Linked DNA regions of Coturnix japonica. The protein of the gene in region 2 interacts with the protein of the main gene of each other region in a biochemical or structural test. Links are inferred from orthologs where the notes say so. Each region holds a gene or a part of one and is shown on either strand. Other genes may lie near its edges.

Evidence for each region. The genes of interacting proteins can lie anywhere in the genome.
Region 1: the proteins of ATP7B (region 2) and ATOX1 form a complex in vitro, tested with the Homo sapiens proteins (3 studies listed by BioGRID and IntAct). The link is inferred for Coturnix japonica from reciprocal best matches to the Homo sapiens genes ATP7B and ATOX1.

What each region holds. Positions count from the first base shown.
Region 1 is NC_029528.1:5,158,837-5,163,182, forward strand, and holds the start of ATOX1 (copper transport protein ATOX1), read right to left. Parts: upstream 2,807-4,346; 5' UTR 2,681-2,806; coding exon 2,675-2,680; intron 1,972-2,674; coding exon 1,896-1,971; intron 587-1,895; coding exon 453-586; 3' UTR 434-452; intron 1-433. UniProt on the Homo sapiens protein: Binds and deliver cytosolic copper to the copper ATPase proteins. May be important in cellular antioxidant defense.
Region 2 is NC_029516.1:152,322,856-152,326,450, forward strand, and holds part of ATP7B (copper-transporting ATPase 2), read right to left. Parts: coding exon 3,553-3,595; intron 2,455-3,552; coding exon 2,218-2,454; intron 929-2,217; coding exon 765-928; intron 1-764. UniProt on the Homo sapiens protein: Copper ion transmembrane transporter involved in the export of copper out of the cells. It is involved in copper homeostasis in the liver, where it ensures the efflux of copper from hepatocytes into the bile in response to copper overload.

The sequences.
Region 1 (4,346 bases), on a different chromosome or scaffold from region 2:
TTTCATCACTGTCCCTAGCATTTTTGGTCACTCTCCCTGGTCATTTCACTAATGTCTTTGGGGTTTGTTTTCATTCATGATATGCTCTGGCAAACTCCAGGTTCACCTGGTAATTGCACAGAGGCTGCGTTCTACCTCTCCATGCAATTAGACCATACAAGTATCAGCCAAAACTTCTCAAATTATCAGATGCCATAGTTCTCTTTTGGCTGCAGATACTACAGCTATAGTTGGGTTCCTATGGGCTTTGCAGAGCAGCTAAGGAGTCCCATGCAGAAGGTGCTGGCTGCATGTGCTTCTCTGATATGAGGGGATTGCTGAAGCTGGACCTACAAGTCTCCCCTCCTTTGTGCTTTACATGAAACAGACTGGTTTACTGAGAGAGCTGGAACAAGCTCAGATCTCTTCAGTGTTTCATACACCTAATATATACCTAGCCTCCTCACAGCAGGCTACTGCACTGTCTTCTCCCCCAGGTAGGATGCGCTCTTTCCAGTCTTCTTTAGGGTTTCCAATAGGGTGTCAACATTGTGCTCTGACTCAATGTACACCTTCTTGTTGGGCAGGTCAATATCAAACTGGACACCTGGAAGGAAAGGAAAAACACTTAGTTAGAAGCAATCAAATGGTATAAAAGCAGGGAAAATGTCACTTTCATGCATTTGTGCTCTCACAGTGTCACCAAGTGAATTGTACATGCCTCTTGTCAGCAAACTTCTGTTCTGTGACCAGCACAACCAGAGCAGGATCCCACCAGCATTGGTATAAAGGAATCCAGATTGCCTATATATGTACATTAGGCACCATAGGTTTATTATGGGAGCTTTATTAGACTAGCACAATCACAAGCATTAATGAGAATTAGCAGAGTTTAAACCAACCACTGTAATCTGCAGCCAGCTCACTCTGTGCTGAGGTTTGGCACGAATGAGTACTAATGAAGGAGATGGCATAGAGGTTAAGATGGGGTCAGAGCAGGTTTTATCAGTGGCAGTACCACCTTGCAGCTGTAAGCAGGAGGAAGCTCAAGACACCTTCCATGTGGATATGCCACTGGTAAATAAAGGTCAGCCACTCTAAAGCCAGAGAGAAGAACTCAACGAAGCTTCTACCCAACCATATAATGAAGGTAGGTAATAGCTTTAGCAGCTCTACTGCTCCATCCCATGAGTCTGTATTTGGCCAGCACGTCAAAGAGTGATGGGAGGACAGAGGTGCTGAAAACAACACACAGAGGAACTGGAATCACCACAGCCTGGCAATGGGGTCCTGAAGAATTCTCACAGCCTTCAGCTTGGTGACTGAGAGCTGTTCCCACTTGGTGAGGATGGGTAAGCAGGATCAAAAGTCCTCATAACTGGTGAGTGCAGGCCAGATCCTGCTCTCTTGCTGCTCTCAGCACAGAGGAGACACAAGTTATAATTTTCCAGGTTGAACAAAAAACAGGCTGTGCAAGCAACCACCAAACCCTCTGCTCAGCAGCTCTTCACCATGACTGTTCTGCATTTGGATGCTGATGACACATCCAGAGAAGCACTGCAGCTACCAGTGGCCTGGCAGGAGATCCACCTTCTCTTCTTCTTCCCAGCCATCCTGAGCAGGGGGGTGCAGCTCCTGGCAGGTTCAGGATGAGGCCCTGGTGGTGCACAAAGCCACCTGATGCCTGAAGCCTCCTGCATCCCCAGCACTTTATCCTTCCCGTGTTTCTTCTCCAAGGGTTACGCCAGCCCTGCTAGCAATCAGCTACCAGCAGCTCAAAGCAGAGTGATAAGGTGCAGAGGTTTCCACTCAGACACTTCCTGCTGTTACCCACATTGCTTCCTGCTCAAAACAGAGGACCCTGGGGCAGTGACATCTGGCCCCAGAGTCATAATACACCCTGTAGCTCGACTCACCTCCCAGTCTATGCAGGACACGGGTGACTGCATTGGAGCAGCCTTCGCAGGTCATGTCCACAAAGAACTCGTGTTTCTGCAAGAAGACAGATGAGGGTTCAGCAGCATTCACCACCACCTGGAGGGTCCTCTGGAGGCTGCCTGCTCCAACCATGCACTGGAATCAGGACACCTCCAGGGCCAGCACAGCTCTCAGGGGGTTCTCCTGGCCCTGCTAGGCAGGGGGGTTGGAACTACATGATCCTTGAGGTCCCTTCCAACCCGGGTCATTCTGTGATTCTGTGATTCTCCTGGACCCATTGTATGCACAGCCCAGGAGGAGCAAGCCTGCTGCTTTGCTCTGCAATGCCTATCCTATCATATATCATATCATCATGCCCCAAACTCATAAAAACATCATGAAAATAAGCTTGAGGACCACTACCCGCAGTACTCACAGTGCACACATGCGTGGCCCTAAGGCTATCCACTGTGCTCAGCCTTCTGTACGGGACAGGCCCTATCTCCTTCACCTGATATCCTTAAACAAGAAAATCAATGCTGCTCCCTGTCTCCCACCCTCAACCCCTCCATCTTTTTACTCCAAACCACCTTTAACCCCCCACTATCATCACAGCGCGGATCAGTGCGGAACTGAGCAAAACCAAAGCGCTCAGCATCACCATTTATCACCATTCCTATGCGGAACTGGCATTTCCTTCATGTTCTGACAAGCTCAAGGTGGTTCCATCCCCCGGCCCTTCGCTGTCCCCCCCGCCGCCCTCCCGTCCCGCACCCACCGGCATGGCGTGGCTCCGGCTCCCGGTTCCCGGCTCGGAGGAAGGGGCGGCGCTGAGCTCAGCTCCGCACAGCGCCCCCGGGGCCCGAGGAGGCTCGGTAGGGTACGAGCTGCCCGTGAAGCTTCAATGTTCGGCTCTTAGTGAGACAAGTCATTTGCTGCGGGTGTTTGGGGGCTTTTTGGTGTGGTCTTAAGGCTGAGCAAAGCTGTTTGAATGGCCTTTTAGGGACGATGTATGTTTTAGGATGTTTTTGTTCTGAGAACAGCCCCTTGGTTATGTTGCTCTTCCCGTTTTCCTGATCGGTGAGGCTGAATGGCAGCTCTATGGGTCACAGCAAAGCAGGATTAGGGCTGAAGGCCTTTGCTCTGCTCACCCAGGGGGATGCCAACTGAGAGCCCATAGACATTCATTGTGCTGCACACAGGACCTGGCTGCTGTGCTGCTCTATCACAACGTGAGCTCCCTTTCCTCCCAATGCCGCCGTGGTCCCAGCAGTGGTTATTTGAGCTGTGGGTCACTGCTCTGACGTTGAGCCCCACAGCTGTGATTGATGCGCTGGCAGATTGTGCTGCAGCCCTATAAATAGCCGGGCACACAGGGAGGGGGGTGGGCAGGGCTGGGATGTGGTGGTGGGGAGGGACTCAGTCTGAGACAGTCCAATATATCTGATAGTGCTTCATGTCATAGATATGATGGGATACAAACACAGCCTGCTCAGCCAGCTACCTGCTGCTCCTCCATCCTGCTGTCCTCAGCATCCACACCTGCACTATGTGTTGTTCAGATGAGGCTCAGGGGGTCAGAGGCGACCTAGTGAGGCCCATTGGAGATCTCGCAGCCTGCTCTTAGTGATAACCAATGCCCGTCCCAGCGCTGCCCCCCAGCAGGGGGTGGTACGGGGCACTCAATGCCGCCCCTCGTGCGGGGTGACTGTCCCTTTAAGGCCCTGCCTGTCCATCATAGCCCGTCGCGCCCTCCCATTGGATAGGATTGGATAGGTCCCGCCCCCATCTCTAACGGGGTTTACCAGCACCTTCTCAAGGGCGCTGCTGTGCGCTTCAACCACACTACGGCGTCACGCCTGCCCCGCCTTTCGCGCCTGGTCTCGCGGTCAGCGTCGTCCTATTGGCTACCGTTAGGTCTAGCCCCGCCTCAGCACCGAGAGCTTCGCCTCCTATTGGTTCGGATCGCTGTCTGTCAATCTCCCCGCTCCGCGCAGCCAGGCCGCGTGGTTGATAGAGTGAGCTGCCATTCATTTATCATCCCGCCTCCTTTCCCCTCTCCGAACCAATCAGCGTCCGAATGAAGGAGAGCGGCGCTGTGTGATTGGTGGAGCAGCCTCCCGCCGGGTTAGGCTGCGCGCCGGATATATGTAGCCGGCGGCAGAGCACGCCGTTGCGTGAGGTGCTTGTCGTCCGCCGGGCAGGCCTGTGCTCCTGCGACGCCTCCCGCTGCCGTCCCGCTCCGCCCGCAGGTGAGGGGGGCAGGGCCGGGCTGGGAGCGGGGCCGCGGCCTCGTGGGGATGGCGGAGGGCTGCGTGCACCGGGGCGATCCCATTTCCATCCCCCTCAGCGCTGCCCCCTATCCCCGGGGTAGGCCGAGGCCTGGAGGGGGGGGATGGGGTTGGGGTTGGGGATGGGCCCCGCTCGTTGCCGGCCGTCGCAGCGCGGTG
Region 2 (3,595 bases):
AGAATTTGAGGTATTGTTACAAACATACCAGAGACTGTTCAAACTCTGCAGGCACTGACCCAAGGCCTGAGCAGGAAGTTTATAGAGTTGTCTTACAGGAAACAAATATAACTATCTGCTTGTAAAATTCTGCAACAAACAGTTCTATTCACTGCAGCTTATTTGTACAGCAGCACTAGCACGTTGCATTTACTGCAAGAGTAGTTTGTATAGTTCTATCAGCAGCTCTATTAACACTGCCAAAGTCAATACACATGTGAGCATGTTCAACATCATCATCCTAACTCAAATCTCCTGGTGGCTTCAGCATGGCACATTCCCACTTTCTGATCTGTTTGCATAAGTGCAGGCTGTTGTGTTCTGTCTTACTGTATATAAACATAAGAGAAGAAAAACAGACTTTCAAAGAATCTGTCCTGCTATGAACTATTTAATAATTTCACCCAGTGTTCTCAGACCTCTATACAAAGCCCATAACCTTCTCATCAGATGCTCAATGATGTATCATTTCCCATTTCATTTCCCCGTGCTAACAGAAGTCTATTCCATACACATAACTATTGCTTTTTGTTTCAGTGCTTTTGTCAGGTTCTTCTAAGAGAAAATGATTTTCTCTTTCTAGCAATTAAGCAAAATGAGTGTCACCAGACAGAACTGATCTGTTGAGGCCATGTCTCCTTAAACAAAAGCTCTTGCAAGAAAATGCTTCTTCTGAGCCCACCATATCCAAAACCAACACGCAATTTGAAATACACGTTACTTACAAGAAGCTCCACATTTCCTTCTGTTTCTGAATGATCTTCTATGACAGTGGCTTCAAAACCCAAATTCTGAATCAACTGTGCTATTTCAAGAGGCTGTATGAACTCTGGCTTGTATTTTATCTCTGCTTTACCTGCCATCAGTGCTACCAACACTGAAACAATACCTGCAGCAGCAATAATAAAGAATGTTAGATAATGCAGTTTAGTTTGTGAGGAAGAAAAATAAAATATCACATGTGATTTTCAGTGGAAACTGTAGCAGTTTAGTGCCATTTTATGTCTAGTGATCTCTTTTCTGCCTCCTCCTAGTGTTGTTCCCTGGTCAGAGCAGCAAAGTTTTTACTGAGATGCAGCCATACCAAAGTTCCTATACCTATACACCTATACACCTATAGCAACAAGAGAAGCTGCAACATGGAGGCTATGGTCAGAGACAGAAAGGAAGTTCATGAGCAATTTCTGCACTTCTAACTCCAAGCTCTACCCTGGCTTTCTTAAGTTTGCCAAGCTCTAACTAAATCCCACAGGACACTGGGCTTTCTTTTTTATTATTATTTTTTTTTAATATAAATTGACAATCGAATCAATTGACTTGTATCAGCACATGGAGACCATGCATTGGGAGACCGCAGACACAGGAATCAATAAGCAAAACCCACTTAAGATGAGCTGATGTGCTTTAAAGCAGTGTTGATGCTTGACTGCTCATGCTCTATATGGCCAGTCTGCAGACTTCTAACCTGGCAGGACTTGCTGTGCCTAAACTAATATAATTACCCAGGGATTGGAGCCACACATTTATTTATACATGCTTGTGCAAACATATGCTGGAGAATAAGCTTCATACCACAATTATCAGAGCTCTCAACAGCTTTGAAAGTGATGGATTGCTCTGTAAAGACACAAGGCCCTGAGAACAAAATAAGAACAACTTTTCTGTTCTTGTCCTGAGCCTTATTATTATATATTTGAGACAGGGAATAATTAAGGTTGGAGTAGACCATTAAGATAATCTAGTTCAACCATCAAACCATCCCCACCATACCCACTAACCATGTCCCTCAGTGCCACATTCATACAGTTCTTGAATATGTCCAGGGATGGTGACTCTACCACCTCCCTGGGCAGCCTCTGCCAGGGCCTCACTGCTCTTTCTGACAACATTTTTCCTGATATCTAACCTGAATCTCTCCTGGTGCAATTTAAGGCCATTACCTCTCATTCTAATTTGAAATGTTGATCATATTCCAAGCACTTACTATTACAAAACAATTACGTCCATCGTGTAGACTCACTACACAAACAGTGATGTAGTTATATTAGCCCTAAAAAGAAGTTTAAGTCTATTTAACCTCAAGATATTCTACCATGGCCCCTTCCACTGACAAATACAGAACACCTTTTCCAACCAGCAGTCCCTCAGAACTCATTATTGGAATGTTGAATTTATTACCGTCTTCTTTCTGCAGATTTCTTTCAATGGTAGACACACACGATGCACAGGTCATGCCAGTGATTTGTAAAAAGCACTTCTTGGCTGTTGCTCCACTGGGCTGGTTTGGCTCATCAAGGTGCGGGCTGTCTGGAAGTGCATCGGAGACACAGCTCTGGCGAGGAGGCTCTGGAGCTCGAGGCTGTGCTGCAGCATTGCTGGCATCAGGCCACTGCTTGTGATCTCCTGCACCAGTATCTTGAATAAATGCACAATAAACTGAACAATTACTACTTACAGGGCAATACGATGATGCAAAACTACAAGCAGGTTACACTGATCACGCAAAGTCTTTTATTTGTTTGAAAGATGATATGGTAATCTTGGTTTCTTGGTGGAAGAAAATTACAGATTGTTACTATGCAAATAACAACACACGCTCACCTGCACTACTTATATCACCACCTAACTACATATCTCATTGCCACTTTCAGATGGCAAGTGACTCCCTCCAATCTGTGTCTAGATCAGACAGCTGCCTTAATCTGACAGCTACCTCTGCTCAATAAAGATACACTGGCATCTAGAGGGTCTTTATCCAGCACAGAGTACAGGTCAGCCTCATATTCATCTTGTCTTTGTTACCTTCTATACAGCTCATAGCGCCTGGTCCCTAAAAGGGAAAGGAAAAGCTTCTCAACAGGTTTCTCTTTATGGCACAGTCGTTATGCAAGTACTGTAAAATGAGTAGTGGAAAGATTTGCAGCACTCAGACCTCTAAGTCTGTGAGAAAAACCAATCGGGTATTTGGGGTTTAAACCAGTGCATTCCAGGTATACCACATCCGTATCTTAAAGGAAATTTGTTCTGACCTGGAGCAAATAAATACTGCTGCTTTTGAAATTTGCTTGAGAGGAGATTATGCACCATAGCAACTCCTTCAACACTGAGCACGTGTACAAATTCCACAAACTGTGCTGCAGCTTAACATGTAAAAGTAGCGTTGGCTGCCAAAGACCGCGCGTGTCTTGGCATTCACCTTGTTGACAGCAAGGCTTAGGTCCCTAGCAAAAATTCTCAAGAAATAAAGAACAAAAGATTCAGACACTAAGAAGGGACTTTAGCCAGGAAAAAAAATTAGTTTTAAATGAAACATGCTTAAGTTTGTATGTTTTAGTATTATGGAATTTAAATTAAAACAGTCAATTTGACAGATCTCACAGCATCCTGTAAGAGGCTGGAGGAGCCCATAGGAGGAAACCTACTGTGGTGGTAAGGGCATCTGCCACTTAAAAGACACTGTACCAACTTCCAAGCCTTTTGACATGCTACCCACAGAAGACAAAACAGTGTTACCTGTCAGCAAAGATGCATCAAACCCCATTTCTTCTATGGCAGC